Oryza sativa Japonica Group: one gene and its partners. The protein of the gene in region 1 interacts with the protein of each later gene in a pairwise test. Links are inferred from orthologs where the notes say so. Each region holds a gene or a part of one and is shown on either strand. Other genes may lie near its edges. The genes, in order: cBL-interacting protein kinase 24, nucleoside diphosphate kinase 1 and sodium/hydrogen exchanger 8.

What was found.
Region 2: the proteins of cBL-interacting protein kinase 24 (region 1) and nucleoside diphosphate kinase 1 interact in binary tests that used the Arabidopsis thaliana proteins (3 or more experiments, as listed by UniProt). The link is inferred for Oryza sativa Japonica Group from reciprocal best matches to the Arabidopsis thaliana genes SOS2 and NDPK2.
Region 3: the proteins of cBL-interacting protein kinase 24 (region 1) and sodium/hydrogen exchanger 8 interact in binary tests that used the Arabidopsis thaliana proteins (3 or more experiments, as listed by UniProt). The link is inferred for Oryza sativa Japonica Group from reciprocal best matches to the Arabidopsis thaliana genes SOS2 and SOS1.

What each region holds. Positions count from the first base shown.
Region 1 is NC_089040.1:24,901,122-24,912,045, reverse strand, and holds the start of cBL-interacting protein kinase 24, read left to right. Parts: upstream 1-5,294; 5' UTR 5,295-5,395; coding exon 5,396-5,581; intron 5,582-6,695; coding exon 6,696-6,758; intron 6,759-6,878; coding exon 6,879-6,950; intron 6,951-7,208; coding exon 7,209-7,316; intron 7,317-7,409; coding exon 7,410-7,484; intron 7,485-7,568; coding exon 7,569-7,622; intron 7,623-8,121; coding exon 8,122-8,247; intron 8,248-8,374; coding exon 8,375-8,464; intron 8,465-8,817; coding exon 8,818-8,940; intron 8,941-9,025; coding exon 9,026-9,145; intron 9,146-9,929; coding exon 9,930-10,046; intron 10,047-10,129; coding exon 10,130-10,186; intron 10,187-10,289; coding exon 10,290-10,364; intron 10,365-10,573; coding exon 10,574-10,669; 3' UTR 10,670-10,924. UniProt on the Arabidopsis thaliana protein: Involved in the regulatory pathway for the control of intracellular Na(+) and K(+) homeostasis and salt tolerance.
Region 2 is NC_089046.1:22,866,523-22,877,446, forward strand, and holds nucleoside diphosphate kinase 1, read left to right. Parts: upstream 1-3,798; 5' UTR 3,799-3,870; coding exon 3,871-4,083; intron 4,084-8,349; coding exon 8,350-8,400; intron 8,401-8,538; coding exon 8,539-8,625; intron 8,626-9,187; coding exon 9,188-9,268; intron 9,269-9,364; coding exon 9,365-9,477; intron 9,478-9,605; coding exon 9,606-9,655; intron 9,656-9,913; coding exon 9,914-9,981; 3' UTR 9,982-10,266; downstream 10,267-10,924. Other genes in the region: auxilin-related protein 2, read right to left, coding at 456-1,039. UniProt on the Arabidopsis thaliana protein: Major role in the synthesis of nucleoside triphosphates other than ATP. The ATP gamma phosphate is transferred to the NDP beta phosphate via a ping-pong mechanism, using a phosphorylated active-site intermediate. May activate MPK3 and MPK6.
Region 3 is NC_089046.1:28,212,211-28,223,034, reverse strand, and holds the end of sodium/hydrogen exchanger 8, read left to right. Parts: intron 1-811; coding exon 812-856; intron 857-1,012; coding exon 1,013-1,068; intron 1,069-1,350; coding exon 1,351-1,535; intron 1,536-1,635; coding exon 1,636-1,686; intron 1,687-1,756; coding exon 1,757-1,864; intron 1,865-3,190; coding exon 3,191-3,425; intron 3,426-4,010; coding exon 4,011-4,313; intron 4,314-4,832; coding exon 4,833-4,930; intron 4,931-5,614; coding exon 5,615-5,746; intron 5,747-5,851; coding exon 5,852-6,070; intron 6,071-6,177; coding exon 6,178-6,384; exon of another isoform or gene 6,385-6,557; intron 6,558-7,484; coding exon 7,485-7,743; intron 7,744-7,889; coding exon 7,890-8,194; intron 8,195-8,278; coding exon 8,279-8,653; 3' UTR 8,654-8,890; downstream 8,891-10,824. UniProt on the Arabidopsis thaliana protein: Acts in electroneutral exchange of protons for cations such as Na(+) or Li(+) across plasma membrane. Involved in Na(+) and K(+) homeostasis.

The DNA of each region.
Region 1 (10,924 bases):
AGGATTTTTGGAGGACACTCAGTTTCTTTTTGATTTTTTTAGGTCCTTTGATTCATAGAAAAAGATAAAAGTTTTTGTATAGGATTATATTCCTATGGTCAATTTTATAGGAAAAATAAGTAAGAGATTAGATCTCTTCAAAACTTTCATTTGGTTCATTTTTTTCCTTTCGTGCAGTCAAAGGACATTTCCTCCTGTTTCCTGTGTTTTCACTTCATGTCGGATTGAATAAGCAGTTACTTCAATTTTTACGGTTTTTTCTATATCCATATTTTTCCTTTCCTGTGGTTCGAAGGGGCTCTAAGACTTTGATTTATCTCTAGTTCTTCATCACAAAATGTAGAGGGGAAAAAAAGACTTTTGACCTTAGTTTCTTGACGTGCTACTTCTACGAGAACCTAAAACACACACAGGATATACAAATAATTACTCCATCTAATCATTGTTTTTTTTAAAAAAAAAGAGAAGAACTTTGCAGTATTTCATTGATAGTGAAGATAGAGCAACATCAACATGATCAGAAAGGATAAATCACCGTGTCCGAAAAAAGATCAAGAATAAACACCAACCCAACACACAACACCTCACAAAGACCGGAATATCCCTCTAGTAAGTATTCCCAATGTCATATATCTATGACAAGTGGAGGTAATATTTGATAATATTTTTTAATTACACGAGTATATGTGGGAACACACATGGAAACAAACAAAAATGCAGAATTATTTTGTACCAACATTTTTCATTTTGCCCCTGAGGGATTTTTTCCATCTTGGCTTTTTACCACTAAGGTGAAAATTAGTCATGGTTTAGCCTCACATTTGCATTTGCCCTTTGGCAAAATAAATAGACATAGTGAATGTTTATATTAGAGTGTCATATATATGCTATTTTTTATGGATAAGACTTCTGATACTAATTTAACAGCAAGCGATTTTCGTCCAATCCAGATCCTCAGTATTGCAGACTCAATGTGGGGCTGAATGTGGGGCTGAGGGTCTGTAAGGCCCATATGTCAGTGAGCACATGCAGTACTGCAGGAGCCGCATCCATTTTCATCACCTTGACTCTTAAGACGTCAAAAGCAACTCTACAAACAAATTTAATGAGCTTTAAGATGCATTTGTGAAATGGGGAGCCTAAAGAGTCTACAACTCGTCCATAACTTTAGCCAGTAGGAACAGTACAACTGAATGGTATTTCTTTAATTTTGTCTTCCTTTTCTGATATTAATTTTATCGGAATATATTCAGGGCCATATAGTCTTTGAATAGTCATGTTTTTTTATTTACCAATCACTTTTTAATATCGAGATTAATATCAAACATTCACATATACTCTTTTTTGGGTGAAACAAATAGTATTTAATTAGAGCTCCCTTTAAAACATAGAAATAGGAAAAAAAAACATAGGAACCAAGTGACATAGATTTTAAATTCCTACAGGAAGATAAACCATATGAAAGTACTTTAAGGTCCCGTTCGTTTCTCCAACTCATGAGTTGGATGAAAAAGAAGATTTATGTGACACATTTTTCAAACTGCTAAACAATACGTTTCGTACAAAAACTTTCTATATGAAAGTTGTTCTAAAATATCAGATTAATCCATTTTTCAAGTTTGTAATAATTAAAACACAATTAATCACGCGTTATTACCACCTTGTTTTACGTGAAATACTTAATCATTATCTTCATCTTCATCTTCATGAGATTCAAACACCATCTAAATATTGGTGTTTGATTGGAACACATAAGAAACATAGGATTGCAAGAGACAAAAGATTGAAAACATGAACTAGGACCTCTTGGCCTTGTTTCTCTGAAATCACCATATAATTGTCCATTTCATATAAATTTCAAAGAAAGTGATAGGATTTAATCCTTTGTTTCAAAGGCTCTCATAGGAATTATTTTATAGGATTAAGAATCCTCCACTTCAAAGCGGCCTTCAAATTGCACTTTGATGAATCTCTACCAATGTTAAAAAAATCTAACGGCCTAGAGAAGCACAAAGCATATCTAGATGAATTGTGGAATGCAGAAAAAAAAACTATCCCTAGAGAATTATTACAGTGTTTGTAGAATGAATAATTATGAATTACAAAATTATAGTTTGGTTAAAAACAAGAAAACTACTGAGAAGCACAACCTTAAAAACAAAAATCTCCATCTAAGGTTGATCAGAGGATGCATAACTATTGTTTGTACCAACATCTTACAAGTTGTATGTTGTAGTTATCTTTCTCAAGCCATAAAAATATAATCTTCGAAACAAGTAAGTAAGGAAGCCGTGAAGACAATTCCAGGTGGTGGCAATAGTAAAAAAAATATAGACATATGAGAAACACAATCATATGATGCTGAAGGTTCAATATCACATTAAAAAACTACATATTTAACAAAACTACAGATTTGAAGTGTTGTATCACAAAACTACATATTTAACAACAAATTTATCATGGAACTACAAATTTAAGGTAGAGTTTCACAAAACTACATATTTAATACTATCTCTGTTTTTTAATAGATGACGCCGTTGACTGTTTGTCACACGTTTTACCATTCGTCTTATTAAAAAAATTACATAATTATAATTTATTTTATTGTGAGTTGTTTTATCACTCAAAGTACTTTAAGCATGATTTATATATCTTATACATTTGCATAAATTTTTGAATAAGACGAATAATCCAACATGTGTTTAAAAGTCAACAATGTCATTTATTAAAATACGGAGGGGGTATTAAAGTTATCACAAAACTTCATATTGTAAAGTTTCAATCACTAGCACTGTCGTTCTGTTGGACATTGTAGTTTTGTAATTAAATTGGGACTGAAACTATAGTATTGGGATAAATTTGCTACTTAATCTACTGTTTTGTGAAACTTTATCTTAAAGTTGTAGTTCTATGATAATTTTTTTTTTGTTAAATCTATAGTTTTGTGATACACCACTTTAAAGTTTTGTAAAATTTTCTCATATCACAAATTAAGAAGACAATTTGAACTAGTGATATGGTTCACACCAGTTTTTCACGAACCATTTCTGGTTCACTTTGTTTGTGCACTGTCGATGGTTATGACCCCTACAATTATTTCTATTTATTCTAAAATGTTTCAAATTTCAGAATACGGCGAGAAGCATCCTTGATATGGCATGGAATTGTAGGGGTATGACTTTATTCATCGGGTTATATATATACAAATATAAGTATGGTTTTAGCATATCAATAAATTCGTAACTCAGAGATATCGCTAATCTCGACATGGCGATCAACGTGTTAAGACGACGCACTTGCAGTTTGTGAGTGTGTATACATGTTGAGTCGTAATCGAAATCGAAAAGAAAAAGGAAAGAAAACAATTGACGCTTACTGTCATCACAGCCATTACTGAAGTACCGATCATGCTTTCTACTCATTCGGAGAGATCACAAACTTTTATCGCATCAATCATCATCAACCGATCGAGCTAATCACCATCAAGTTAAAAAGCGAGAGGACAATAGGAGGCATCAACACCACAATAACAACACAAAAGAATTAAAAAGCGACCTCTCAAACATGAGCAAAATCTTTTTCTGTCCCCTTCTTTTTCAGGTCATGCAAAAGTAAATAAATAGAATACTTCTTCCGCATTAGTTTAAACTTGTATCTTTTTTTAAGCGCAGTAATTATAGGCATACAAATTTCTTCACCATAATATAATCATCTAAAACCAATTTATGGCAAAAGGAAAAAGCTAGAATTAACCGTGCCAATTATTAGAGAACGCAGGTGGAAGCCTTAAATAGGCAAGCAGTCAGGCATTTAGCAGCGCGCTGCGCGCAGCAGTGAAGCCATAGCCCAAAGCCACAAGCTAAAAATTCGTAGTTGTTTTTTTAATAACATCACTATTAAATATGTATTTTACGATACGGTATTAAATATATAGTTTTATGTATTTTTATGATACGGTATTAAATATATAGTTTTATGATAAATTTAATGTTAAATATATAATTTTGCGATATATCATTTTCAATCTATAGTTTCTGATAGTTTAAATGGAGTTCACTAAAATTTATTAAAAACCATGAGTAAATTTTATAAAACTACATATATTTTAAATTTTAAATTTGTAGATTTTAAATTTTAAAAGTATACTGTAAAATTTATTATAAACCATGAGTAAATTTTATAAAACTACAAACCTACATATTTAATAACAAATTTCGCAAAACAATAGAATTAAAATAAAGTATAACAAAATTCCCTTGTGGTGAAACCAGTCTATCCGGGTTTAAGTTTTAGACTTAACATGGGTGCTCGTATTTACAGCTAATTATTTTTTTAGTGGTAAGTGATGTACTCATCGACAGCAAGATGTCTATGGACTTCATCAATCTCAAGATATACTGGTCCAGTCCTCCGAAGATGCTTATAGAGGTAGGGTATGTGTGTATGTGTTTATAGACGTGAGTGTGTGTGCGTTATGGGCACCTGGATTTATACTACGCTTCTCAAAAAAATAAATTATAACAAAATTGCAGATTTAGTAACAAAATTATTATAAAACTACAACATTTTATAATTTGGAGATAAAATTAGTGCTAAGAGTTTCAACTTTGAAATCTGTAGTTTTGTAATAGCACATAATTCTATGATACTCCGCATTAAATGTTTTGTGAAAAAAATAATCTTAATTTTATGATATGACGTTTTATTCTGTACTATCTCCGTCCCATAATAATTGTATTTCTAAGATTTACATGTGTCACAAAATAATTATCATAATAGAGTACTAATTGTCTCATAATCACTTCTCATTTAAATTTATTTCTATTTTACCCTTAATTGTCCTTCTATTCTTACCTATACACCATTTAATGAGGGGTATCGTAATCTCAAATCTTAATATATGCTAATCAAAACCATATATCGAAACCATTTATTATGTTAAATGTCGATTACTCCCTCTGGTTCTATAATAATTGATGTTTTAGATAAGATTGAAGTCAAACTTTTATAACTTTGACTATCCATAACTTTAAAAGTATTTAGTTTAAAAAACAAGAACAACATATATAAAAGTATTTAGTTTAAAAGAACAAGAATAACATATATAGATTTGTCTTTCAAAACACTAAACATTCATTTATTTATTACATATATTATAATAGAAAAATAAGGTCAAATATATGTTTTTTAGATCGTGTGATTATCAAAATATTAATTAAAATAAAATCGGAGGGAGTATTATAGAACGGAGGGGGTGGAAGCCCATAAATAGGCAAGCAGTCAACCAGATGGTCGGTATTCAGGCAGCGAAGCCCCCCCAAAGCCGAGCTCGCGCGCGGCGGCGTCGTCGTCTTCCTCCTCTTCCCCCCGAGTTGGATTCGTGGCCGCGCGGCGGATGGGAGGGGAGGAGGGAATGGCGGCGGGGAGGAAGAAGCGGGTGGGGAGGTACGAGGTTGGGCGGACCATCGGGCAGGGGACGTTCGCCAAGGTCAAGTTCGCCGTGGACGCCGACACCGGCGCCGCCGTCGCCATGAAGGTGCTCGACAAGGACACCATCCTCAACCACCGCATGCTCCACCAGGTAATTCCCCCGCTTCTCCTTTCCCGCTACCCTCCACATCCGCCCCCGCCAGTGCACGAGTCCAAATCAAACTCCTCGCACTCCCCCCTTTGCTTTGATCCGGGCGATTCTTTTTACACTTTTTTTTATTTGGGTGCTCTCCGCTGCTGCTTTGCTGTTTGCCAAATGGTGAGCAGCCGCGCATCGACGAGGGCGGATGGAGAATTTCCGAATATACCTCGACAGCAATGCGCACCACTGGTTAATTCGTGCGAGTTGCGCGCAGCTCTTGCCGTTTGATGATTAAGAATAAGGAATTAACTGGAGAGCCTTAAATTTCTTGTTCTCCCAAAGGGGAAAATACCTTTTTTTTAAAAAAAAAAAAGAAAAGAAAGAAAAACTTAATTCGAGCGGTTTGTTTGGTGTTTCATCTCGTTTGGGCTGACAGAAGCTCAGTTGCAGAATTGAAATGGTTGGGTGTTGAAAGTGATTTTACCAAAATTTGGTCTGTTGTAGCTTAATTCGATTTGCGGTGTTTGCAGAAATGCTACAAATAGTTGGTTCATATGGTTATCCAACGACATCTTTTGAGGATGCATCTTGTTGCAAAGTGCTCAAGTTCTCTAATTATAGTGGTGTAAATCTTTTCCTAAGCTTCCTGATTTGCTAGTTGCTATGGAACTTGGTTTCTCTCCAATTGTGTTTGCAATTGCAAGTATATATTTGGTTTGTTTAATATAACTGTTCTATAATCCTAAGCCTACTGCTATGCCATGAAGCTTGGTTTCTCTCCAATTGTGTTTGCAATTGCAAGTATATATTTGGTTTGTTTAATATAACTGTTCTACAATCCTAAGCCTACTGCTTTGCCATGAAGCTTAGTTTCTCCCCAATTGTGTTTGCAATTTCATGTGTATAAATTTGGTTTGTTTAGTTTAACTGTTCTGCAAATCAATGATGACCACCAGTTTTACCTGATTTTGCTGTGAGCACCCATTTCAGATTTCCAGTTTATGCGAGATGTACTTTCTTTGTGTTGTTTATGCAATATCGCTAATCATGATAACAAAAAAAAGGACTAAACCATTCTAATTCGGCATTAGATTACGAACTCACTTCTCATGTTACTTGACAGATCAAAAGGGAGATATCAATAATGAAGATTGTAAGACACCCCAATATAGTTAGACTAAACGAGGTATGCTAAATATTTACTTGCCATCTGTCCTATATAACTTTTCATTATTAACAAAACTCCTATGTTGGCTATCTTAACTTCCTGTGTCACTACTTTGTTACCATTACTATGATTTTGTAGGTTCTAGCTGGAAAGACGAAGATATACATAATCTTGGAGCTTATCACTGGAGGCGAATTGTTCGATAAAATAGTAAGGAGTCTATTATATACACTACCGAAATAACGATGAGCTGCTGTTCTACTTGAACTAAAAAAATATAAGAATTGTGCCAATCTGGCAGTGTCTCCATATGTAAATTCTTTTTATCACCCATATATACCAGAAACTTTCTGTTCAGTAAATTATAGGCCCATTATATAATCCCAATAGGCAATATAAAGAAAGGAACATTTTTTTATTATTGTGCATTTTCTTAAAATATGAACCTATGCGATCAAATATCTGTAGGCTCGCCAAGGGAAGCTTCGTGAAAATGAAGCAAGGAAGTACTTCCAGCAGCTTATTGATGCCATCAATTATTGCCATAGCAAAGGAGTATATCATAGAGATTTGAAGGTCCGTTACTGATAAGAGACACTTGGCTATCATTTGTCCTATTCACTAGGTGCAATATCTCATGCTTACCCTTTTTTTGGGCATGTTATGTAGCCTGAAAACCTGCTTCTTGACTCACGTGGAAACTTGAAAGTTTCTGATTTTGGACTTAGCACTTTGGCCCAGAAAGTAAGCTCAGTAATTGCTTTTAATGATGCTGTATTTCTATCCTAGAAGTGTTCTGATTGGGATTTCTTTTTTGAGGGATTTCAGGGAGTAGGCCTTCTTCACACAACTTGTGGAACACCAAATTATGTTGCTCCTGAGGTATGATGCTCTCTCTCTCTCTATCTCTCAATGCATGGTAAATTGAACTGTACGAAATGTTTTTTTTTTGGCAAGGAGCTAATTGATTAGCTACACTACATGCAAGAAATATGTCTGCAAAATTAGACGAGTTACTCGGGATGCAATTCAATTTTCCTAGATTTTCTTTATAGATCATATTTGTATGTATGATACAAATGTCTGTTAGACTAGAAAGAGATTACCTATTTCTTTGTTTCTCTACCTGTCTCGCAGTTATTTGGTTGGTTAGTTCTCTTCAGGGTTCTAAACCTCATTTTTATGCATATTTCTGCCATCATCACTAAATAAATATCTCTAGCTGTCTTATTTCACCATGTTCAAGCTATTGTGATTTTAATTGTCTGAACTAGTTCATAAAATTGTGATATGGGCATTTCAAGCCATTTCCTTAGACAAGATTAGGGGCATTTTTTTAGTACATATATGATATGCGCTTTACCATGTGTCAATGTTTTAGGTGCTTAGCAACAATGGTTATGATGGATCTGCAGCAGATGTTTGGTCATGTGGTGTTATTCTCTATGTTTTGATGGCTGGATACCTTCCTTTTGAGGAAGATGATCTTCCAACACTGTATGATAAGGTATTGGCTTCATTACTAATGTGTGCAGCATAAGTCTTTCTTTCCCTAAATTGTTGATGTGAACACCTACATAATCGTTCTACTCAGATGAGATTGAAACCTGATATGTTTACTCCTACATTAAAAGATTACTGCAGGTCAGTTTTCATGCCCTTATTGGTTCTCTCCAGGTGCTACATCGCTTATCCACAGAATACTCGACCCAAATCCAAAAACTGTAAGTACACACACTAGGTTGTTTCATTGCATCTTCAAGAAACAAATCATCCTTTATAGTAAAGTTTACCTCAAGCTTCCAAAGTACTCTTGTCACCAATTTAATACTTCAGTCTCAGTCTGCATGGCTGCAGAAATTATGTGAGAGAATGCAGAAAACAAAGACTAATTTCTTCATATCAGTGCTGCCATATATGTTACAGAAATACTGTATACAACTATACATGACCAGTGACAGAATCTTGCTAGAATCAAATCTAATAAGTCTAACGCATAGATCTTCAACCAGCATAGAGTGTTTGCTTTTGCAAATTGCCGTCTCCAGTTTCTTAGGCCTTTTTCACTATTTTGCAGCGTATCACTATTGAACAGATAAGGGAAGACACATGGTTTAAGAAGACTTATGTAGCCATTAAACGTGGTGAAGATGAAAATGTTGATCTGGATGATGTACAGGCTGTTTTTGACAATATTGAGGTTTGTGTATGCCATTGGTATATTGCCAATTGTCTGTCACCTATTTGCTTCTATAGTTATATTTATACAACTTTTCTGGCTTCAGGACAAGTACGTTTCTGAGCAAGTGACTCATAATGATGGTGGCCCTCTTGTGATGAATGCCTTCGAGATGATTACATTATCTCAAGGTTTGGATCTTTCAGCATTATTTGATAGACAGCAGGTAATTTCATAGTTCCACTCTTCCTTTTAGTTGGTAACACTCTTGGTATGGTTGACCATTTTGCTGTTGGAGAACCATTAGCGCAATGAAATTTGAAACGCTGATGGGTTTATAGTGTACGGAGATCTGGCATGTCAGCTTATTTCATTTACTTACAAGGCTGTGAGGCACTGGGTTTAGTGACGGTTGGTCGCTCAGGGGTTTCTATCTTGTTTATAATAAATGACTTAAACGAACATCCATTTCAATTGGCGTTAGTATTATGTGGAACTATATTCTAGCCACTGTATATGGATTAACCGACTGTAGATCGATCCCATTGTCTATTCTCTTTTCTTATCGCTTAGTGTACTGGTTGGTGGCAGACGGCTTCTGTTTTTTGCCAAATTTGAATGGAAATGGAAACCCTGCATAAAAGGAGAAAAAAACATCTGATTGCTTGCTTCTTAGCTAATCTCCATGGTTTAAATTGCACCTGTTTAGTTTGTGAAGTATTTGACCACACCAACCATATATTCATTCTAGTTGCAATGTTCTCGTATAGCAGAAAGAAGAACCCACTTTTCAATGTTTGTGCTCTTACATTAGATCTTCCTAGACATGTTTAGTATGTATTTTTTTATTTTACGTGGACCATACGTCATAGTGTGCCACACGTCATGAATAACTTTGGTGTTTGCTTTATGCATTAACTGCAGTCCTCATGAATAACTTATGTTGTCTGATGCAACTTTCATCACATGGAGTGCTCATGTTGCAATAATGATGGGTTTTATATTTGTAGGAGTTTGTCAAACGTCAAACTCGTTTTGTCTCAAGGAAACCAGCAAAGACTATAGTAGCTACAATTGAAGTTGTTGCTGAGACTATGGGTCTTAAGGTCCACTCTCAGAATTACAAGGTAATTACAAAACATTTTCTTCAACAAGCAACTCATTTCTTACTCTTGATGTAATGATACTTATTGCTAACTCTTTTCTGCAGTTGCGTCTTGAAGGTGTATCTTCAAACAGAATGAGCCCGTTTGCTGTTGTTCTACAGGTAGTCTTACATTGCCCTTTGTTGGGGAACAACATTTTGCTGTTTGTCATTCACAAACTACATTTTTCATGCTGTCTTATGCTTTGAAATGCATCATTCGCAGGTTTTCGAAGTTGCTCCTTCTCTGTTCATGGTTGATGTTCGAAAGGTTGCTGGTGACACACTGGAATACCACAGGGTCTGTCTTTCCACATATCGTCTTGTATCCTAATCGAATATAGTAGCATGATTGCCTAGACTAGTTCATAAATCTAAAAAAATGACTGACACTGCCTGACTGACACTGATAACTTTCACACAATGTGTCAAAATGCTCATTCGAAGGTGCAACATCCAACTTTTCGTCCATCCGGAACGATTGCTAACTCAGATTTACACTCATTGCAGTTCTACAAGAACTTGTGCAACAAGATGGAAAGCATAATCTGGAGACCGATTGAAGTTTCAGCGAAATCCGCACTGCTGAGGACAGCCACATGCTAGCCTGGCGCTAACGCAGCTGCAACTCCTGCATCAGTGGGATTTTCAGGTTTTCAGGTTGTCAACTCCTAGCCCGTCCACCGAAGTTGCTCTTGCAGGCGCTGCATGTACCACATAGCTGAGTCAGTTCTTCAGTAGATCAGTGTACCATTCTAGTTTCATGCACCAGATGTTTTGGTAGTATTGTTAATATAGAACTGTAGATAGTCCATATAGCGGCCAATTGTGCAGTCTGTATGTAACATGGATATAGATAGG
Region 2 (10,924 bases), on another chromosome or scaffold:
GCATAGCATATGTTCCTAGGCGTTTCTAATAGTAAAATCGAAGTAGAGCCCATAAAATTCACAAGATGCCCATAAGTTTATCCACAAGATGCCATTGATATTCAATGGTCAACACAGATCATACCTAATGGAAAATAGCCTATAAATTCAATTACCAAATAGATTTGAAGATATAAGCCATCAATGAATTTCCTACCTCAACTGGTATAAGTTACCAATTCAAACAATCGCACGTGCACATTAACAAGCTAAAATCTAAGCAAATGCAACATAAATTAGATATGGGAGTCCATAATTTGTCCAACTCAACTGAATTATCACATGGTTCTCTCGTTGCCGAGTTGGCTCATACCGACAAAGCTTCCGCTTGATCCAAACTACTACTAAATTTACTCCTAGATTGCACATGTAGACAACATAATGCCCGAAATTCCCATGCAAAAAGGTGTGCTCACCTGGCACGCATCGGGATCCTCCCGCCAAACCCTGGGATCAAATCATCAAACCCAGCCGATGAAGCGGCCGGCTCAGGCTTCCTCTTCTCCTCCGGCAGCACCTCCTTCACCTCCGGCTTGCTCCCAAATCCCCCAAGCAGATCATCGTACGCAGGTGGCGGCGGCGCGTGGCTGCCACCGAATACATCGTCAAACCGCGCCGAGGAGCTGCTCTTCACCCCGGGAACCCCATCGAAGATGTCGTCATCGTAGACCGGCTTGTCAAACACCGGCATGGACGAGTGCTTCGGCTTGGGTGGGGCATCCGGGGCGGAGGGCTCCTTGAAGGAGTCAAAGATGGCGTCGAGGGAGGGCGAGGGCGCGGCCTTGGGCGGCGGGGCGGAGGGCGCCGCGGCCCCGAAGAGGTCATCGTACAAGGGCGCGGGCGGGGCGGTGGCGGCGGCGGCGGAGGACGCCGATGCGGATCTGGAGTTGGACCAGGCGGATCCGGAGGACGCGGCGGCGCGGGCGGCCGACATGGGCGCCGCCTTCCCCTGCGGGCGCAGCCCAAAGTCGCGGGCCAGGAGGCCCTGGAAGTCGTCCATGGCAACCGCAACAGCGCACAGATCACCGGATCTGACTCACGAGCTCACCCCCCGCCCACACCACCACCACCTCCCGCCGCGGAGGCTAAGAGCGAGTACGCGAGGGGGGGGGTGTGGATCTGGGGGAAAGGAAGAGGAGGAGGATCGGGGACGGCGACGAGACAGCTACCGATCTGGGGAATGAGGGGGAGCGCTCCTTGGCGGCGGCGGCGGTGGCCCGGTCGCCGGAGACGCCGCCGGAGAGATCGCCGGAGACGGGAGGGGAGAGAGAGAGACGGTGAGTCGAGGAGGAGAGAGAGAGATGGGGAGAGAGAGAAGAGAGAGAGGTGGTGTGTGGGCGATATCATCGGGACCCGTGCTTTCCCCACTGCCACGTGGAGCCCACGAGGAAAGTTGGAGATCGTGTTACGGCTACGGGGGATTCGTCCGAACCGCGTCACTGACAGGTGGGTCTGGTTTTTGTTGGTCCCACCTGTCTGTGAGGTGTGAGGGTGGTGAGGAGGGCTTGAACGTGGGAGTGCCAGCGCGTCGGTGGCGGCTTACGCGCTGTGCGGGGGGATTCGGTGTGTGGGGCCGGGGGATGTTTGGGGGGTACGTGGACGGATGTGATTGGTCGGAACCGGTGTTGTGTGGTTTGTGCGATGCGGTGTGGTGGACGAAGTGGATGGGCCCACGGGTGGGTGGGTCCACTTGTTCGGTTTGTTCCTTTCTCGCGCTCGTCCGTCTCCACCGTGCGTGATCCGCCTGAAGGCGTAAACCTTGAGGTACCGCGTTGCTGTATAGAAAGCGTCAGACTAGGTTTACTAAAATGAGGTGTTCCGTTTGGTCTATGCATGTGTACACCGGTAACATGTGTTTTGAATACAAAGTGTATCATTTGACTTTTTACGGTAAGTAGGCCAGTAGGCCTCATGCTTTTTATACTGGACGGTCGTCAGATGCCACATATACAATATGGGCTAAAGAGTTTACATAACAACGGGTGAAATGAGCTAGTACTATATAAAAAAAAGTATATTACAATAATAATTTTGTTATTGACCTCCATAAATTAGGTGTAGGAATAAGCACCTCGGCAACCACTGGACAAGTGGGCAGTGTGGAGGAAGCAGTGGCAACAATTTGACTTAGCTTTTTTCTGCACGTGAAATAAAAACATTTAACATATTATTAATTAAGTATTAAATCGATAAGCTAGATTTGTTTGATTTTTTTTAAAATAAGCTTTTATATAAAAATTTATTTTAAAAATACACCGTCTAATAATTTAGGAAACATACTCATAGTAAACGAACGAGTTGCAAAAGCTAAACTCACTTTCAAATTGGCAACAGCCAATAAGATGACCTTTTGTTGGCTCTAAAGAATAATCACCTAAATTTGAAAGCCATATACATATACAACAATATTTCTCAATGCTTTCTTTAAAAATTATTTTATCTTTTACCGAGTCTCAAATCTTTCTCTTTTACTTTGGACTAGCTCATGCACAACAGCTAGTACTTGGTGGCTATGCGCTCACACTCAACGAACATATGATTACTTCTTTCTCATTCATGTAGGATGTAGGTTGATATGGCTTGAGTGATAACGTTTGCATGTAAACTAAGGTTATTATACTTGCCGTACATATATGATACTAGGATGAAGTAGATATACATTTATGATAGATGCTCACAATTTTTCTTTGTGGAATCACACTTTTTTGGATGGCAATTGTTGATTAAGTATGCAACCATAAGGGGTGTAAGGAAAGTCAATCATTGTGCAGCTATGGTTTATTGGGCATTTGGATGGAGAGGCATCTTTTTTCTCTTCTAATGAAGTGAACATTGAAGAAAAGTATGTTATTCTTCGCTCCAAGTATCAATGCATATACTTGTAAAATAAGCATCACATCACATGTATATACATGTACCATGCCAAGAAGGTAAGCATCACCGTTTAGCGATGATTCGAGGACCAGCATAGTGTAGAAGAGCGGTGTACATCTTACCTTAATTTATAGAAGAATGGTATCTCCCGATGAATAAAACCATATAGAACACGGCTATATCAAAAACTCATACCATATTAACCTTATTGATTTCAACCAGAGAGAAACGGGACTAGGAAAAACAATCTAAAACGACTAATAACATGTTGTACATGGTAGAGGCGAGATCAATCAAGGAGTCGATAGTGGTGTATGAAGCACGTATACATTCATTTCTGTTTGAAACAAGGGTGCGTACACCCTGTGATCACAAATATTTGTGCTCTATGATAAATCTGGTTATTTTTTATTGCTTGGCCTATCAATAATCGGGATAACTTTTAGTTTGAAAACATAAAACAATATAAATAGATTTATCTCGAAAAAGTACTTTTATTGAAAAAATTCAAACATCTTAGTACTAAATTCAATCGAGCAAACTTATGACAACAAATCATTGACCATATGCTAGAGGTTGTAACAATATGAACAATCCCACTAAACGAGGACTCTTCGACATTGCATAGAAATTATTAATTTTATGTTCAGCTAACCTTAAAAAGACTACTCCTAATATAATTTTCATAAACGAACGAGGTATATAGCGACTCGAAATGAGGACAAATCAGGTCCATTTTTTCACCCCCATGCAGGAGGAAAATGAGAGGCAGGGGTATTTTCGGCACTTCACAACTCGAGAATAAACAAATCTTGAAAAATGTGACAAGATGGCCGCTGCTCTGCTCTGCTCCTGCTCATCATCTTCTTCTTCTCCGCTCTCCCTAATCCAAAAAAAGGCGGCTGCTTTGGTCGCTCGCTCGCTCGCGCGGACGTTGGAGGAGAAGCAGCTACCGGGATGGACGCCATGGCCGTGCTCGCGAGGACCTCCCGCCCCGCCCCGACCCTCCTCGCCGCGACCTCCCCCGCGGTGTCCCGGCGCCCGGCGGCCGTCTCCTTCGCCGCCGCCGCCTCCCCGGGGTCCCGCGGCCGCGTCGCGCTGAGCGCCGCGTGGGGCGGGAGGGCGGCCAGGGGGCGCGTCTCCGCCGCCGGCCGCATCGTCGCGTCGTCGGTTGGTCACCTCTCGAATTAATCCCCTTGTTTTTACCTACTCGCGTTTGGTCCAAATTGCAGGAAAAGATTAGTTCCTTTTTTGTGGGTTGAGAGGGGCAATTTGGTTTGGTTGTGATGTTGGTTTCAGACTTTTACTCTACTGTTGTATTGGCCCGAGTCGTATTTTTTTTGATAGATTGGGGAAGAAAAAGACATGCTACTAGCTGAGCACAGATGAAGATAATCGTTTTTTTGGCTCCCTATTGATTGCAAAAACTGAACAGATAATTCACTGAAATGTCCCACATATTCATACGTTGCTTTGGCCAGTCTGAATTTCCTTTTTTGTTGAGAAGAGTCAGTCTAAAATTTTAGTACCCGTTTCTGGAATATTCTATGGTTATTGACATAAGTTATTGGAAAAAAAGGAAGCGAACTTGAACTGAAAGTAAGAATTTTGCCTTGCTGCTGTCAGCGGCAGACAGTACTGATGAAAATATGGCACTTAGGCATGCTACATTGTGTTGATTGCCAAGTAGGAGTTGCTTTTGTACCGTGATGCGCATATGGAAATGGTCATGGCAATTATTTTGGATGCTCTGATAACCATCTAATTTGCTGCCTAGTTCGTGCAGTACAATTGAAGATGTTTGCTATATATGTCATTATGTAGAATTTTTGTGCCCATCAGAATTCCAAAATTTGGTCTTCATTTTTTTTACTCTTTTTGTTAATAAATGCAATGATCTCTGTGGTTCTACTGTGAGATTGTTTGAATTATTCAACAACGTGTTTCAAATTCCAGTACTTGAACAGGTCCAAGTTTCCTTAGGCAATCTCATTTTGCGATGCAGCATGACAGTTGTTGCAACTTGCAATGTCTTAAATACACAGTGAAGGGGTACTGTAGAACAATCTAAATCTGTTTATGCATAGTTGAGAAAATTGAGTTATGTTGAAGGGATGCCAAATTTATTCTTGTAGTTTTTCATTATTCCCCTCAAGCATAAAGCCATTTTCTGTTTGCTAATCTCAGTAACGTGTTAGTGCATCAATGTTGGTTTTATTAATCTTACGCATTTAATCCCTGAAATCAAAGATGCAGATCAGCAGAACTTGTAGAACTGTTTCATTTTTTATGTCCACTTATTCTTTTCATGGCACGATATATGCCTATATCTGAGAGGTATTACGGATGCTGTTTGACTTAGCTTAAGTATGGAACCTGAGTTCGTCGCTTCTATTTTCACAGAATAAGTGTGGATCTGTCTATTTATGAAACTAGGAAGGTAGCCCGCGCATTTGCGCGGGCATGTTTTTATTTCGTTTCGAAAACATGTCTAACAAAATAAGTTTAAATTAAAGTGAGGTGTTTCCCTTCTTAATTGAATGTTCATTGTATTTTTTCTTTAAAAATCTTGAGAAACTTTAATTGCTCATAAATATATATTTTTTACTAACCTGCTATCACCTTTTTAAATTGACCAAATATACATATGTAAGATAGTGATTCTTATGCGTAGGATCCTACAGTATTTTTAAGAAAAATACCAAGTTAATATGAGTCTTAAAATAAAAATTAGTAGGAAATTTCTAATCATATCGTTATACGAAATGCTTATTGATTTTGTATTGACACCTTAGAGGCATTTACATGCAGGTCGTGGAATTTAGTGTATTCGTTTAATTATCATTGACCTTCATCTCCTGATGTGTCAAAGTGAAATATGACTTGTATGTAGAGAAGAAAAAAAGTTTAAAAGAATAAAATATCGTTAGGATGTAAAATGAACTTTTTTTTCCTCTGTAACCAATGGAATAGATTGATTCAATACTACTTTTGCGGGTTAAGTGCTCCACTAAAATAGTTCACTGTGTAAAAGCTTCAACTCTACCTTCTGGGTTAAGTACTCCACTAAAGTAGTTATATGTAAACACATTACAAAAGTTATTTCTAAAGGTAGCCCATGAGTCCGAGGCAAAAGGCTCATCACATAGGAGGCTGCACATTTGAGGAACATGAGAACAATATTCTCGCGGAAATCATTTGTTTAGAATGTGATGAACATAATTGTATATTCAATTAAAAACGTTAGAAAAGTGGCTTAAAGTTGTCATTTCACATTGATTGGTTATGAAAATAATGGTATATATAAATCTTTGTGCCGATATCATTGTTTGCCAACAATCAACGAACTTGATAGTTACTTTTGGTGTTCCTTTTGGTATGTAGCAAATTGGCTACATATTTTACAACTTACTGTATCCTTTGCTGAGATGCACTTGCTTTTTTTTCTCTGTATACTTGATTGTCTCATTGTTTATTAATGGATGCCTTCGGTCCACGTGACACAATATATATTTCAAATAAAAAGCCTTCTCGAGTCTAAATTGATTTTGCAGCGTAGGAGATAGTTTATTGTTTCGTGTAGAGTGTGTGAGACTCCATGTAGCTTAGCAGGAACATAATTTTCATTGCGAAAAATAACTCCGCATGTGTGATTATTATGTAGTGTGGTATGATTGTTGTCATGATTTAAATATTTTTACTCTAAAATTTATGATTAAACATTAGGATTTTACATAATGCAAACAATCACTTTGTGATTTTATCTTAGCTAACATGCATTAGGCCTTTAGTGATTATGTTTATATTGCATAATCCTAAATATGAAGCCTACAATGCTTATCCTATTTTATCTTTGTTGTTTGAAAGAATTAGCCATTTATACAACCATGGTAGTTTAAATACTAAATAGTTTTTAACTTTTAAGTTTCTAAAATAATTGGTAGATAAAGCTTTTAGCTCGGTCATGCATGATACATACATGTAGTCCCAAGCTAATTTGCCCCCTCACGCTGACAGTGTCCTGAGTAATGTCGATGGGGGCAAAATTGTGACCGATCAAAGTCTTAATTTTTTTCAGTTCAAGAAAAAAAAATGAATCTCAATTTTTTAGACTACTATCCAATGTCTTGTACTCTATATGTACGAACGAAGCTATAACCGATCTCTTTTCCTTTGCGTTAGATCAATGTATATGGCCCACACCATTAATTTATATATATCTAATGGTTAAAATTAATAGGTCCACCGATTTGAATGAAAACCGATGGTAAGATATTTTTCTTTTTTTTAGAATTTATAGGATTTTACCTAATTTATTATAGCGTAAAGTGATGATTTAGGAGCATTTGTAGAATATGCATGTGGTGGCTTGATAATGTTTATTGGAAGTATAATGGACTTTTAGTATTTTTTTAAGTTTCAGAAAGAAAAATGAATCTCGATTTTTTAGACTACTATATAATGTTTTCTTCTTCCGTAAGTGTACGAACGAAGCTATAACCATTCTCATATCCTTTACATTAGATCGATGTACGCATGGTCCACACCATTATATTATTTTATATAGATCTAATGGTTAAAATTAATTGGTCTAACATTTTAAATGAAAATCAATGCTAAAGATATTTTTCTTTTTTTCTTAGAATTTGTAGGAATTTTTCTAATTTATTAAAGAGTCATGTGGCAATTTATAAGCGTTTATAGTATATAATATAATATAAGACACGTATAATTATATTATTTTGACTTACCGGGGAGTAATTTATTTTCTAATTTAATTATTGTGTAATTATGTTTGATGATAAAATCTATATCGTTATTTTTTCATAATATTTTGGAATTATTTAAATGGCACGTAAAAGTCAGAAATTGTAACCAAAACATGACATTCTTTTTGAAAGATTAAATATAAGCAGTTTAGATGTTATATTTGTTTAATTGTCAATTGTGCTCACCTATTGTGCTTTCTACCTAATATTGCATAAGAATAGGAATAAGAAATAAGAGAGGGAACAGAGGAGGAAGAGAGGAGGCATACGGGTCCAAGTACGTACGTATACCTACTACGACTCCACGTAGGTACAATACTGATAGGGATTGGAGGATTATTTTTTCTTTATAGATTGATCTAATGGTTAAAAATATCGGGTCCACCAGATTAAATGAAAATCAACGGTTGGGTGTTGTCTTTTTTTTTAGAATTTTAAGAATTTCTATAATTTATCATAGTGCCAAGTGGCAGCTTGGGAGCGTTTGTAGGGTACACGTGGCAGTTTGGGAGCATTTGTAGGAAGTTTAATGGACTTTTATTATATAATAGATGTCAGACATTTCTGATTACCTCAATATTCTGTTATTTCAGTTAGAAGTTGAGAACTCTCCACTTAGGTGATCTCTTCCTGATCAACCATAAGATTAAATCTATTTTTTCTGTAGGTTGAGCAATCCTATATTATGATCAAGCCTGATGGTGTTCAGCGAGGCCTGGTATATCATTTTACTTACTTTTCTAACTTTAGATTCCATTACTTTTTTTTGACGTAATATATTCCATTACTGAATACTGTAGTTCCATTATAGTTTCTTTCAGCTCAGATAAACACTCCTGTCGATTCGTTCATATAGGTTGGCGAGATTATTTCCCGTTTCGAGAAGAAAGGCTTTGTGTTGAAGGGCTTAAAGCTTTTTCAGTGCCCCAAGGACTTGGCACAGGTTTGCCTCTTAATATCCACCGTTTTCTTCAAAAGTAAAGTGTTTTCTTCCACCATCTGGGGACTCACCATTTAATCATCGTTGGAGAGCAATGGTGCCATTTCAAAATATACCATGGTTGCGTGGCATGACAAAATATCATGCCCAGTTTATTTTCTTGGTAGTGGGCAATTTGCCAAGACTTGAATGGACTTATTTGAGGAGATCACAGTTTTATTGTTGTGAATGGAAATTTCACAATCGAATAAATGATAAATAGCATGTCTGTCTGGTATGTTATTTCAGGACAGCCTTGATCATCCAAAGTACTCATTCTTTGCTGACTGCTGAGATAGTTCTTTCGAGTCACTTTTTCTTGTATTCAGCCAACGAAAAGTGATCCATTAAATATCCAAGCAGCTGGAGAAAATTTTGTAGAAATGCCATCGAAATTTGTGGTTAAACCTGGTTTCTGCTCACCGTCAGAGCATACAGTATTATCTTTGTTTTCACATAGGAAGGGAATCACCAGGAGTATATTATGTTTAATCAACGAGCTGCTAATTCTCTCTTATGTGCACAGGAGCACTACAAGGATTTGAAGGAAAAACCTTTCTTTCCCGGTCTGATCGAGTACATAACTTCTGGCCCTGTTGTTTGCATGGTATATATATTTGTAAAGAACCAAACATATTTGTAACTCTGCACTTTGATCAGTAAACTGTTTTCAATTAAATTTATTGTTGTTCTGTTCTGTAAGGCTTGGGAGGGGAATGGTGTTGTTGCATCAGCTCGCAAGTTAATAGGAGCTACTAATCCCCTTCAAGCTGAACCAGGGACCATACGGGGCGATCTTGCAGTTCAAACAGGAAGGTTGGAATCAAACAACCTTTCATGTTTTAACATTATTATATCTACCACATCTTTCACATTTTAGCGGATATCTCTGCATATATATCTCTGTCAAAGAAATTAAATTTCTTATGGACTCTGCTTTCCAGGAATGTTGTCCATGGAAGTGACAGTCCTGATAACGGCAAGCGTGAAATCGGTAAGTTCTACTCCTTTTCCCAGTAGTCATGGTATAACAATATAAGGTGCATAGAATCATGAGTTTTAAGTACTACGAAGAATGAAGTAGTTGACACAGTGATTAGGATCATGTTTTTTTTTTTTAAAAATAATAATTCAGCAGCACTATGTGCTTAGAGACGTGCATGTTTGTTAGCTTGGACTTAACTTTATTGTGACCTGCTATTTTGTTCTTTACAAACAGATGATAAACTCATTACACATTTTCTGTCTGTAGCTCTATGGTTCAAAGAAGGCGAACTCTGCGAATGGGAATCTGTTCTGACACCATGGCTTGTAGAGTAATGCTCCCAGATCAGTGCAAGAACTGGATGCAGTGCTTGTTCTTGATTTGAGGGGTTATGTATGAGTTCAGATCAGCAGAGTAAAGTAGCTTATACCAAAGCTCGGCCTTCTCATGACTGTACACCCTGACATTCCCCTTTTTTGTAATACCCAACATTCCCTTTTTTGCGTTTGACCGATTACTCTCTGTTGTCAAATCTCCTGGCATGTCTGTAATTGGTTCAGAACAATACCAGCAAAGCTCCAACTTCCAAGTCATTATGCAGATGAATGCGTTCAAAATTATCTCAGGCAGTTGACCGATGACTGATTGTCACTGTTGTACTATAGCTCCCAGCAGAGGTGAACTCGTGCAGAGTTGCAGAGTTCATTTGGCTGATGAGCCATATCTTGATCAGCAGTTATGAAATTGTCACCGTATTGGTGTTCAACCCACAAATGAGGAGGCTAAGGGATACTCGTTTGATCTTTTTTGGTGCTTGCATTTCTTGAGATAATGTTTTACTGCTTGATATTTCATCCCAGAAGCTCTCATTTGTACCTCAGCCTCTCAACACCTGAAAGTCTGGACACTGAAGGCATTGATAATTTTCTTACTTCATAGCCGAAAATAAATAAAATCTCAAAATCAAGACTATAGGTGAAAAACCAGCTAAGTGCTTGTGTTTGAGATTAGCCATAAAGCATATTGGCTCAACATGCGAAATTAAATCTGGAGCGTTGGGCACACTCAGGTAATTGTGGGGACTTGGGCCGTGCCGGTCTAGCACGGCATGGCCCATCGTGCTTCGTGCCGGCCCAAGCACGGCCCAATGGCACGCAGTGATATTTGGGCGAGCCCGGGTTCCCTTCTTCCTCGCTACTCTACTCGGCGAGGCGTTACGAGCCCTTCCTCACTAGTCACTCCTCAGCGACGTTAAGGAGACCCGACAACTTCTTCGTC
Region 3 (10,824 bases), on another chromosome or scaffold:
GACCAAATTACACCCCATTATGCAGTCCATTACTCATTTGGCCATAAGATACAACCCAGGATATGTCCTAGTGGCTAATGGATATGTTGCGGTCCTGAACTTTTCTTTTCTTTTCCTTTTGTTTCCTCTTTTTTAGCCCTGTGCTGAACTTCTATGAAACTCCTGTAAAAATCGTCTGCGTTTTCATTAATTAAAGCGGGGGAGATGCTCTCCCTTTCTCCAAAAAAAAAAAGATACAACCCATGTGTGTCCCACCATTAGCATCATCACAGATCAACTCATCTTACCAAGATCCTGAAGTTAATACAAAGGATTGGAGCGAAAAATCATAAGATCATTAGGGCTAGAGCAAAGAGGATGAATAAATAGCACAAAGTAAGGTTAGTTTACTCGTTCCAGAGCAGTTTCCATACAAAGAACGCCGGTCAGGGACATACATCAAGGGATATCTCCTGTTTTGCCCCTTTTGATTTATCCATCACTAAGGAAAATTTGGGCTCAAGGCTGACCCTTTGATGTAGTCTTTTTGAAGGTAGTTTGATGTGGTCCTATCTTGATGGGCAATGCCCTGAAGTTTCTCATTTAGCAGGTTTGTTTTGTAGACAGTAACTAACCAAAATTTAAGAAAAGCAAAAACATAGTGCACTGATATTCCTGTCATTAACTGACAAATAATATGGTTATTATTGAGGTACCAAATGTACCTTGTAATCTATTCAGGTAGGAAAGCTATTTCTTTTTTTATTACTTTTCCGAGGCATTCTGATGTAAGCTTCATGTCTATATTTAATTATACTTTTCTTGTATTCAGGGAAATGGTTGCTTATATAGCAAACACACTTATATTTATACTGAGGTATTGTCAAGCTCTTCTACCCTTGCTCTTGAAACATTCTCTGATCTTTCTTTCTTCTTTCTGGCTGAAACCAAACTGCTTGCTTTTATTTGTTGTAATCCTATGATTTATATATAGATACAGTTATAATGTTTCTTACACGTGAATTCCCCACAGTGGGGTTGTTATTGCAGATGGAGTACTAGAAAATAATGTCCATTTCGAGAGGCACGGTATTTATCTCCATGTACCTTTTGAAATTTACCTTTTATGTTTCCAATAAAGAAACCACAAAAGCCTAGTTCAAGTCTGTGGTCAGATGACCAGAGCCTTCCACGACTATTGATAAATGCAGGATAACCAGGAGAATGGCTAGAATGCGCTGCTTCCTTTTAGAGGAGGGAGAGACCGCAGACTTGAAAGATACCTTGCAATTGCTGACATGGACATTCTGGAATAGAACATTGTTTCTGAATTTCTTATTTATGCTTGCATTTTTTTAATTACTGTTTCAGGTGCTTCATGGGGCTTCCTTCTTCTGCTCTATGTATTTGTGCAAATTTCTCGGATATTAGTTGTTGTTATTTTGTATCCATTGTTGCGCCACTTTGGGTATGGTTTGGACTTGAAAGAAGCCACAATTCTTGTTTGGGCGGGACTGCGAGGGGCTGTTGCTCTGTCTCTATCATTATCTGTTAAGGTAAGTTATTATCCTTGTACCAGCCAACCTTTTATTGTTTCATTGTATTTACATTATTATACTATAAATATTTCTGAATCTTCTACCCTTTTTTTACTAGCGTGCTAGTGATGCAGTTCAGACCCATCTGAAACCAGTTGACGGAACAATGGTATGCTGTTTTTTTTATGGAGAAGTTTGAAATGTTTGATTTTACCTTTACTAATGCTACATATTTGCAGTTTGTGTTCTTCACTGGTGGCATCGTGTTTTTGACATTGATTTTTAATGGTTCTACTACACAATTTTTGTTGCATCTACTTGGAATGGACAGATTAGCAGCAACAAAGGTTAGCTTCATGAATTGTTACCTATGATTATTTTTTTCCTGTTGGGATAATTTTTTTGCTTGTCCATAGATTTCTCTGCTTTATAAACTTTCTGATTTCTAGTTGGTACCAATCTGCCATCTCCTTTGTATTAATTAGTGAGTTGGCAAATTTAAGGTTTTACGTGAGATATATTTTAGTCTAGTACCTTTAAGTCCAACACTTTTTAAATATTTAGGGTTCTCAGTTTTGCATTTGTACATAACTATGATCATGTTGCCTATAACGTTGAAAGACATTTTTTTTATCTGGAATGATTGATTTTTCATTATCCTTGACAAGAACTGTAATGACCATCAGCACCAAAGAATCAAAGGTTCTACCTGTGAACATCCTCTCCAAACAAGCATTCTGTTCAACTCTTTTGATTAGCAATTGTAGCCAGTGGCGAACCTAGAACAAAAATTACCGGGTGTTCTATACATACTAATGATCTAACCATTGACTAATTTATTAAGATGGCATAAAACAGCTAGAGATGAACAATCTATCCGGGGTCATGTGCACCCAGGAACATGCATGTAGGTATGCCCCTGATTGTAGCTTCTCCCTGCTTTTCTTGGCAGTTTCTGATCTTTTAGAACTTGTAAATGCTTTTCTAATATTTCTCATTTTATATAATATTTTCCTGTGGAGAACTCCCTTACTTTTCTCCTAGAAAAGATGGTTGAACTATGCATAAATTCAAAAGTTAGTCGCAGATCCTTTCTTACTGATTACGGTTGTTTGTAAAGCCTCTTCCATCACCTGCTCCAAAGTCCAAGCTGGATAGGTTTTCTTTGGTGTTGTCATGTTGATTTTTAGGTTGTATATCTCTTATTCCTATATAGTTAGTACCCACTAAGTCATAATTGCTATAAAGCTTGCACCACAGCTCGCCACGTCATCGGCGCATATTAACTGTTAGATCTTGATCGGATGGCCTTCAAACATCGCATGTATCCAGTCTGCTATTGGCAAAAAAAAAAAAGGAACGAACCTCTCCCTTGACGTCTCCGCCCAGTGGGCTGTTGGCCCAGCAAGCAACAGAAGAAATTTTTTCCGTTCTTTCTTAGCAGCCAACGGACGAAAGCGGCCCACTTGATAAACACATACTCCACATTATTTTGTCGGAAAAAAAACACGCAACCAATGAGTAAAAAAAGGAAACACACGAAGATTGATCAACAATATTTCTCAGTAAGAATTCTCAAATCCCGCTGCAACGCGCGGGGGTATCCACTAGTGATATAGTAAGTTATTCCCTTCACACTCCAGGTAAAGATTCTAACATTATTGTTATTGCAGCTTCGCATATTGAATTATACAAAATATGAAATGCTAAACAAGGCATTGGAGGCTTTTGGTGATCTTAGGGATGATGAGGAACTTGGTCCTCCTGCTGATTGGGTTACTGTAAAGAAATATATCACATGCTTGAACGACTTGGACGATGAGCCTGTGCATCCTCATGCTGTTTCTGACAGAAATGATCGCATGCATACCATGAACTTAAGGGACATCCGTGTGCGGCTTCTAAATGGTATGTTATCACCTTACATTATAATGTGCTGATGGTGGAATTTGATACAAATATTTCCTGGAGATCGAAATAGAACACATATTAATACACTCCTTTGTTATATTCTTGTCTCCTGTTATCATTTAGCTATTTCAAGTTGGGCTTTAAGTTTGATGTCATGTTTTATGTTCAATATCCCTTTTAGTTACTTTGCTTAGTTGCTCTCTAATTTTTCCCAGTAACATGCTATATGGAAAGCTTAGGTATGTTTACTAAGGATGCATCGTTTACTTTTTACATTGCCTGCTGGTTATTAATCTGTTTGGTGATATACTTGAACCTTGGGCGCTTCCTTTGGTTTAGTGATACGTTTGGTACTTGGCTTTCAATAAGATATATCATCTCTTTTTCTGATGAAACTTTATCAAATTGATGGATTAGAGTTTCTTTGACTTATTTGCTTCCTATCTTTTCATTTTTTACACCCATTTTGTTGCATTCAGTTTTTTATTCCCACATAGTTCAATTAATATTTCTCTCACTGTTCTATATTCTCTAGATAAGCTGCTTAGATTACGGAGTTCTATGCTGAATGAATAAAAACAGGTGTCCAAGCTGCTTACTGGGGAATGCTTGAAGAAGGACGAATAACTCAAACCACTGCAAATATTTTAATGAGATCGGTTGATGAAGCTATGGATCTTGTTCCTACCCAAGAATTATGTGACTGGAAGGGTTTGCGGTCCAATGTCCATTTTCCAAATTACTATAGGTTCCTTCAAATGAGCAGGTTGCCACGAAGGCTTATCACTTACTTCACAGTAGAAAGACTGGAGTCAGGATGTTACATCTGTGCTGCATTTCTCCGTGCTCATAGAATCGCAAGACGGCAGCTACATGACTTTCTTGGTAAAAATTTCATGTTTGTTTGTGCATATTAGCTGCCATTTATTTGGAGGTCTAATTCCAGAAAGAGTAAAAGACAAATCCACCTGAATACATGATATGCATATGAGATATGAGATATATGTGGGTGGAACATATTCTTGGTGTACATTGCTTTAGTTTATAAATGCAATGAAGATGCAATATATATACTCTAGCAAGGGTTATGCTTCCTATAATTCTGTAGGGTTATGCTTCCTACAGAATTTAGTGTCAAACTGGCCAGGTCCTGATGTGTTGGTATAGCTTTTGTTTCTGAAAAACTGCTTTATAGAGTGAAATTTGGATGGCTTAAATGATCTCGCAAGGAGTAAGAATGAACCTGTCAAGTTTACTTTGTTTTGCAAGTTACTACTATGGAAGCCTGGTTGAAGGCATCTTTCTATTAATAATTTGGAATGCACCTTCATTAGTACAGATGACTTGCATGTCATGCTAGTGCTCTTTGAACCTGTTTCCATTCTTATGCACTTCTTTCTTCAGGTGATAGTGAGGTTGCCAGAATTGTTATTGATGAAAGTAATGCTGAGGGAGAGGAGGCTAGAAAATTCTTGGAAGATGTTCGTGTTACATTCCCTCAGGTTTGTGGTTACAGTTTGTTCCCATCATATGATTATTAATGGAGTTTACAGTCATCAGCATAAAATCTTCATACCCAATTCTACTAACAGTTTTCTTTTTCCAAAACATGGACATAATGGCACTATGTCCAGGTTATCATGCCATGTGTCATAAATTATACTTTATAAATTATGAAGTTGTTGTGCTGGGACCTGCCAGTCTAACTTCTTTCCTGAAATAGCTGGTGGAAGGAAAATATAGTACTTCTGTCATAAGCTGGTGAGCTGAACTGCAATGGGACTAGTTTTGGTTTTTACATGTACTTATATGACACCAAAATGCTGAGAAATGGTTTAAGTTTGGATTGGTGTATTTGATGTGGCATATCAATTGTACTGTCTATTGCAAAATTTATGTGAAGATCCTACTCTCCAAACAAACAAAAAATAGTACGTAGGATGTGGCATATCAATTGTACTGTCTATTGCAAAATTTATGTGAAAATCCTACTCTCCAAACAAACAAAAAATAGTACGTAGGAAGTTTCATTAAGAAGATGAAAGGCAACAAAATTCAAACTGTTATTAAAATATTTATTTATGGTTCAAAAGACGAAGTATTTACTTAGTGTTTCATATTTAAGGTGATCTTTATATTAACCAAGAGAAACACCACAACATAAATAAAATGTTCCACAATTTCAGGTGCTTCGTGTGCTGAAGACTCGACAAGTAACATATTCGGTATTGACCCACTTGAGTGAGTATATTCAAAATCTCCAGAAGACTGGGTTGCTGGAAGAAAAGGAAATGGCCCATCTAGATGATGCTTTGCAGGTGGCTGGAATATTTTGCTTGTCTTTTAATTATTACTATGCTGACTTTGTTGTTTCAGTTACAAATCACAATGGAAATACTAATTCTAGTCAATTCACTTGGCAGACAGACTTGAAGAAGTTCAAGAGGAATCCACCATTGGTAAAAATGCCAAGAGTCAGTGATCTTTTGAACACTCATCCGTTAGTTGGTGCACTGCCTGCTGCGATGCGTGATCCTTTATTAAGTAGCACAAAAGAAACAGTAAAAGGACATGGCACAATCCTTTATAGAGAGGGCTCAAGGCCAACTGGTATATGGCTTGTTTCGATTGGAGTAGTAAAGGTCTGTTTCTGCTTTAAGACTACCTTATCACATTAGAGTTGAGGCTTACTGTACTTTCCAGTTTGTTCCATGATGAGCATGTACATCTCTATCTCCTTTTTCCACAGTGGACAAGTCAGAGATTAAGCAGCAGGCATTCATTGGATCCAATTTTATCACATGGCAGCACTTTGGGCCTGTATGAGGTGCTGATTGGAAAACCTTATATCTGTGACATGATTACAGATTCTGTGGTGCACTGCTTCTTCATTGAAGCTGAAAAGATAGAGCAATTGCGTCAATCAGATCCTTCTATTGAGATTTTTCTGTGGCAGGTATCATAAGCTTAACCCAATAAATTATGTGGTTCTTTGGCTTCTTTATTTTATGGTTTTGGAAATCCGGATATCGTCGTAGAGCCAAACAACACTGCAGGGAAGATGTAGAACATACTGACCGGTACATCAACCAGTGTTCAGGAAAGTGGCCCTTTCTGTCGAACACTTAGGTACTGGTTTTTCTTTAAACCTGCAGTTTAGGTTCTAAAGAATACCCCAATCTGCCTTCCCGGTTTAAGCTGAAAGGCTATCTATGCTTCTCAAATATCACAGCATCTTAGGAAGAAAACATTTTAGCGTTGCAAGAGCTGGATGTCTGAAAACCTCTCAAGATCTTGGAATATACCAAAAAAAACTACACTGTTCTATTTTTCATATGCTTCCTGATTCCTTTTTAACGTATAAAAGTTCATGATTCTTTTAATCAGAAAGGTAGGACCTCTGCCAATTTAGTTACAGGATAGAGTTTAGAGATAGATAAAGTTACAAGGAGGAAAGGGCCTGCCAATAGGAAGAGCTGCTAGAGGCAAGGACTGCCAGAAAGTACCTGCACCATAACATTAATTGCCGAGGGCCCATGCATATTTGCCCAGTTCAACTTTGGGCCTGTTTAGTTCGCGAAAAGAAAATTTTTGGGTGTCACATCGGATGTTTGACCGAATGTCGGAAGGGCTTTTTGGACACGAATGAAAAAAATAATTTCATAACTCGTCTGGAAACCGCAAGATAAATCTTTTGAGACTAATTAATCCGTTATTAGCACATGTGGGTTACTGTAGCACTTGTGGCTAATCATGGACTAATTAGACTCAAAAGATTTGTCTCACGATTTCCCCCCTAACTGTGCAATTAGCTTTTTTTCATTTATCTATATTTAATGCTTCATGCATGTGTCTAAAGATTCGATGTAATGTTTTTGGAAAAAAATTTTGGGAAACTAAACGGGGCCTTTATTATCAAAGCACTTCACTTTTTTTTTCTTGGTTATTACAGTGAGGAGAAGATAACAAAATCAAACCGACATGTTCTCTTTTAACTAATTAATCTGTGGAACTTGCAAGCTTATATGTTCATATTAATATTCATGGAAATTTCAGGAAAGTGCTCTAGTCGTTGCCAGGCTTTTGCTCCCTATGATGTTTGAGAAAATGGCAACACATGAGCTCAGGGTTCTCATCACTGAAAGATCTACTATGAACATCTACATTAAGGGCGAAGAAATTGAACTTGAGCAGAATTTCATTGGCATCTTACTGGAAGGATTTTTGAAGACCAAGAACCAAACTTTGATCACACCTCCAGGGTTACTGCTACCACCAAATGCCGACTTGAACTTATTTGGTCTCGAGTCATCAGGTTATTAAGCTATCCTCAGACACTCAACATGAGATGCCTGTTCTTTTTCTTTTCCCTCAAAAACACAATGTTGTAGAGTGCTCTGAGTGAGTTCTCTGCCTCTTGCTGTTTTGTCGTCGGGATGACTCTTGCTGTTTTGTTTGCAGCTATAAACCGCATTGACTACTGTTATACAGCACCCAGCTATCAGGTGGAGGCTAGAGCAAGGATTTTGTTCGTTGAGATAGGGAGGCCCGAAATAGAGGCGGATCTGCAAAGGAGTGCGTCATTGATATCTCAAACCCTTGAACTGCCTCGGACACAAAGCAAGGAGCACAGCGGTTTGCTCAGCTGGCCGGAAAGCTTCAGAAAATCCAGGGGAGCTCAGAATGGTGCCAGCTTAACTGAAATCAGAGACCATCCAGCAAGCTTCTCTGCAAGAGCATTGCAGCTGAGCATGTACGGGAGCATGGTACGTAGAATAAGGAAAGCAAAATTATGGTTTTACATACAGTAGTATTTCTGATCAAAGTCAGCTGATGGATTTGGTTTGCAGATCAATGACATGAAGTCCGGTCAGGGTCAGGGTCAGAGGAGGCAGAGGCATCGTCACACGAAAGCAAGCTCTAATAAAGCGCACAGCTCGTCGTACCCAAGAGTGCCTTCGAGGTCGTCCAACACGCAGAGGCCCCTGCTGTCTGTGCAGTCCGAGGGTGCCAACATGACGACGGCAAGGCAGGCTGCTGCTGCTGGTGCTTCTCTGCCGCCGGAGCCGGAGGAGGCAGGACGGCGGCGGCGGCGACAACGCAAGGCAATAGAAGAGGACGAGGACAACTCGAGCGATGAGTCGGCCGGGGAAGAGGTGATTGTCAGAGTCGATTCTCCCAGCATGCTCACCTTCCGTCAGCCCTCCAGCGCTGCTGATCGATGATCAACGTCGCAACCCAAGTAATTGTTGGACCAGCCAATGGAAATACTCCTCTTATATTTAATACTAATATTTGCAATGCATTTGCTCATTTCATTCTGTTCTAGCGTATACATATGCATCTTATATTTGCATGCTTGGCTCGTGCGTTTACCTCTAGTACAGTAATAAAGAAGAATCCCTGTTCGTTCCGATGTTGAGCTACATGATTATTTATATAGATATATATTTTTGAGATGATGAGCTGCCTACTTGACTGATTAATTTTGTTTTGCATTTTGCTCATGACTCATGAGCCAATGACACAATAACACTGCAAATTTCATAATTGCTCACCGTAAATTTTATAGGTAACATAATTGTGAATTCCATAACTTGCACTGCATATTTCATAGGTGAGAGCCTGAATGCCTGATAGTGCATGGGTTGTACCCTTTTAACAGTTTAGCTATATGTTGGTTCGGTGTATCCCTATTCCTTTCCATTCGAGATGGCCACACCACAAAGCCACCCGATGGCTTTGAGGGATCACCGATTTTTTTTCCGCTACACTCTTTATGTATATCACTTTAAAAGTTATCAAAAAAAATTTAAAACAGTTTACCCATCAATATATGTTATATATTCTATAAATATACATGCTCAAATTCGACTTGCATACGGTGTTGTTTGTTGTTTGAGTTCAATGAATATAGAGATGTTTTGAGTTCAATGAATATAGAGATTAAGTACGGGCATGTGTAAAACAAGAAAGTCATTAGCGTATGGTTAATTAAGTTTTAGTTATTTCAAACTTGAAATTTTGGATTTATCTGACATTTAAAGCAATTTTTATATAGAAAGTTTTCTGCACAAAATGTTTTGTTTAGCAATTTGAAAAACGTGCTAACAAAAATTGAGATAAAATATGTATCTTAATCAGAAAAGAATGGAGCGTACTAGATTAAAAAAAACAAATATAACTATCAAACTTGATTTGTTTATCTACTTTTGTAAGTCGAATTTAAAACTACATGTTTATAGGATAATATATTATATATTAATATATCTTATCATCTTTTTTTAAAAAAAATAATAACTTGTTAGGTGCCATGCATTATGGCTTCTTCTGCTGTAAAGAGGAACTAAAAGAGAGAGACGGGGAGAGGCCCTGCTGCTCTCACTGTGAATGGTGCCAATGGTGAGCCAAGAATGATTGTGCTTCACCTCTCGATTCCTATCCTTGTGAGATCCTCCCTTAAAAGGAGTTTCACGGTACAATTTAATAGCATTATATATTGCGTATATACAAGAGCACATTAGAAATGTAATGGAGCTGATGTGCGACATATGGCTGCTGCCTCCTCGAGGTAGAGGGCCTAATTAACTAGGGTTTTCGGCAGGTCGGAAGGTGAGAAGCAGAGAGGAGACCAAGCGGCGGTGGAACTTGCTCACGGCGGCCGGCGTTGGTGGCGTGGCGCGCGCATGGACTTGTGGTGCTCGCGGGTGGCTCGCCGTGGTCCGTTGTGAACGGGCGATGGGAATGGTACTGGATGAGATCAAGTTAGAGAAAATTGTCCATTTAAAGAATTGTCCTCCGCGATATACGTTGTCCATTTATAGCTAGAATTGACCCCATGCATGTTGCAAAAACATACTCCCTCCGTTTCGAAATGTTTGACACCGTTGACTTTTTAGCACATGTTTGACCATTCGTCTTATTCAAAAACTTTTATAAGATATGTAAAATTATATGCCTATATAAAAATATATTTAACAATGAATCAAATGATAGGAAAAGAATTAATAATTACTTAAATTTTTTGAATAAGACGAACGGTCAAACATATGATAAAAAGTCAACGGCGTCAAACATTTCGAAACGGAGGGAGTATATAGAAATACACAATCGATTTAAGTGGGTAGAGAAATTAATGTACAACATTTTGGGTAGAGAACGCGTAAGGAGCATGAATTATTCTAGGGTTTTCTTCTTTCTTCTTTTTATCTGTTTAGCTTTGCGGTCATGGATCAGAGACAATGCATCATCGATCATGCATGAATTATTTCTTAGAATGGAAATGAAAGATATAGACCATATTTCAATCCGGATGGATAAGTTGATGATGATCGATCTTGTGAGATCGATGCACTTACAGCGTATACAGGCAAAATAATAATAATAATCAAACACG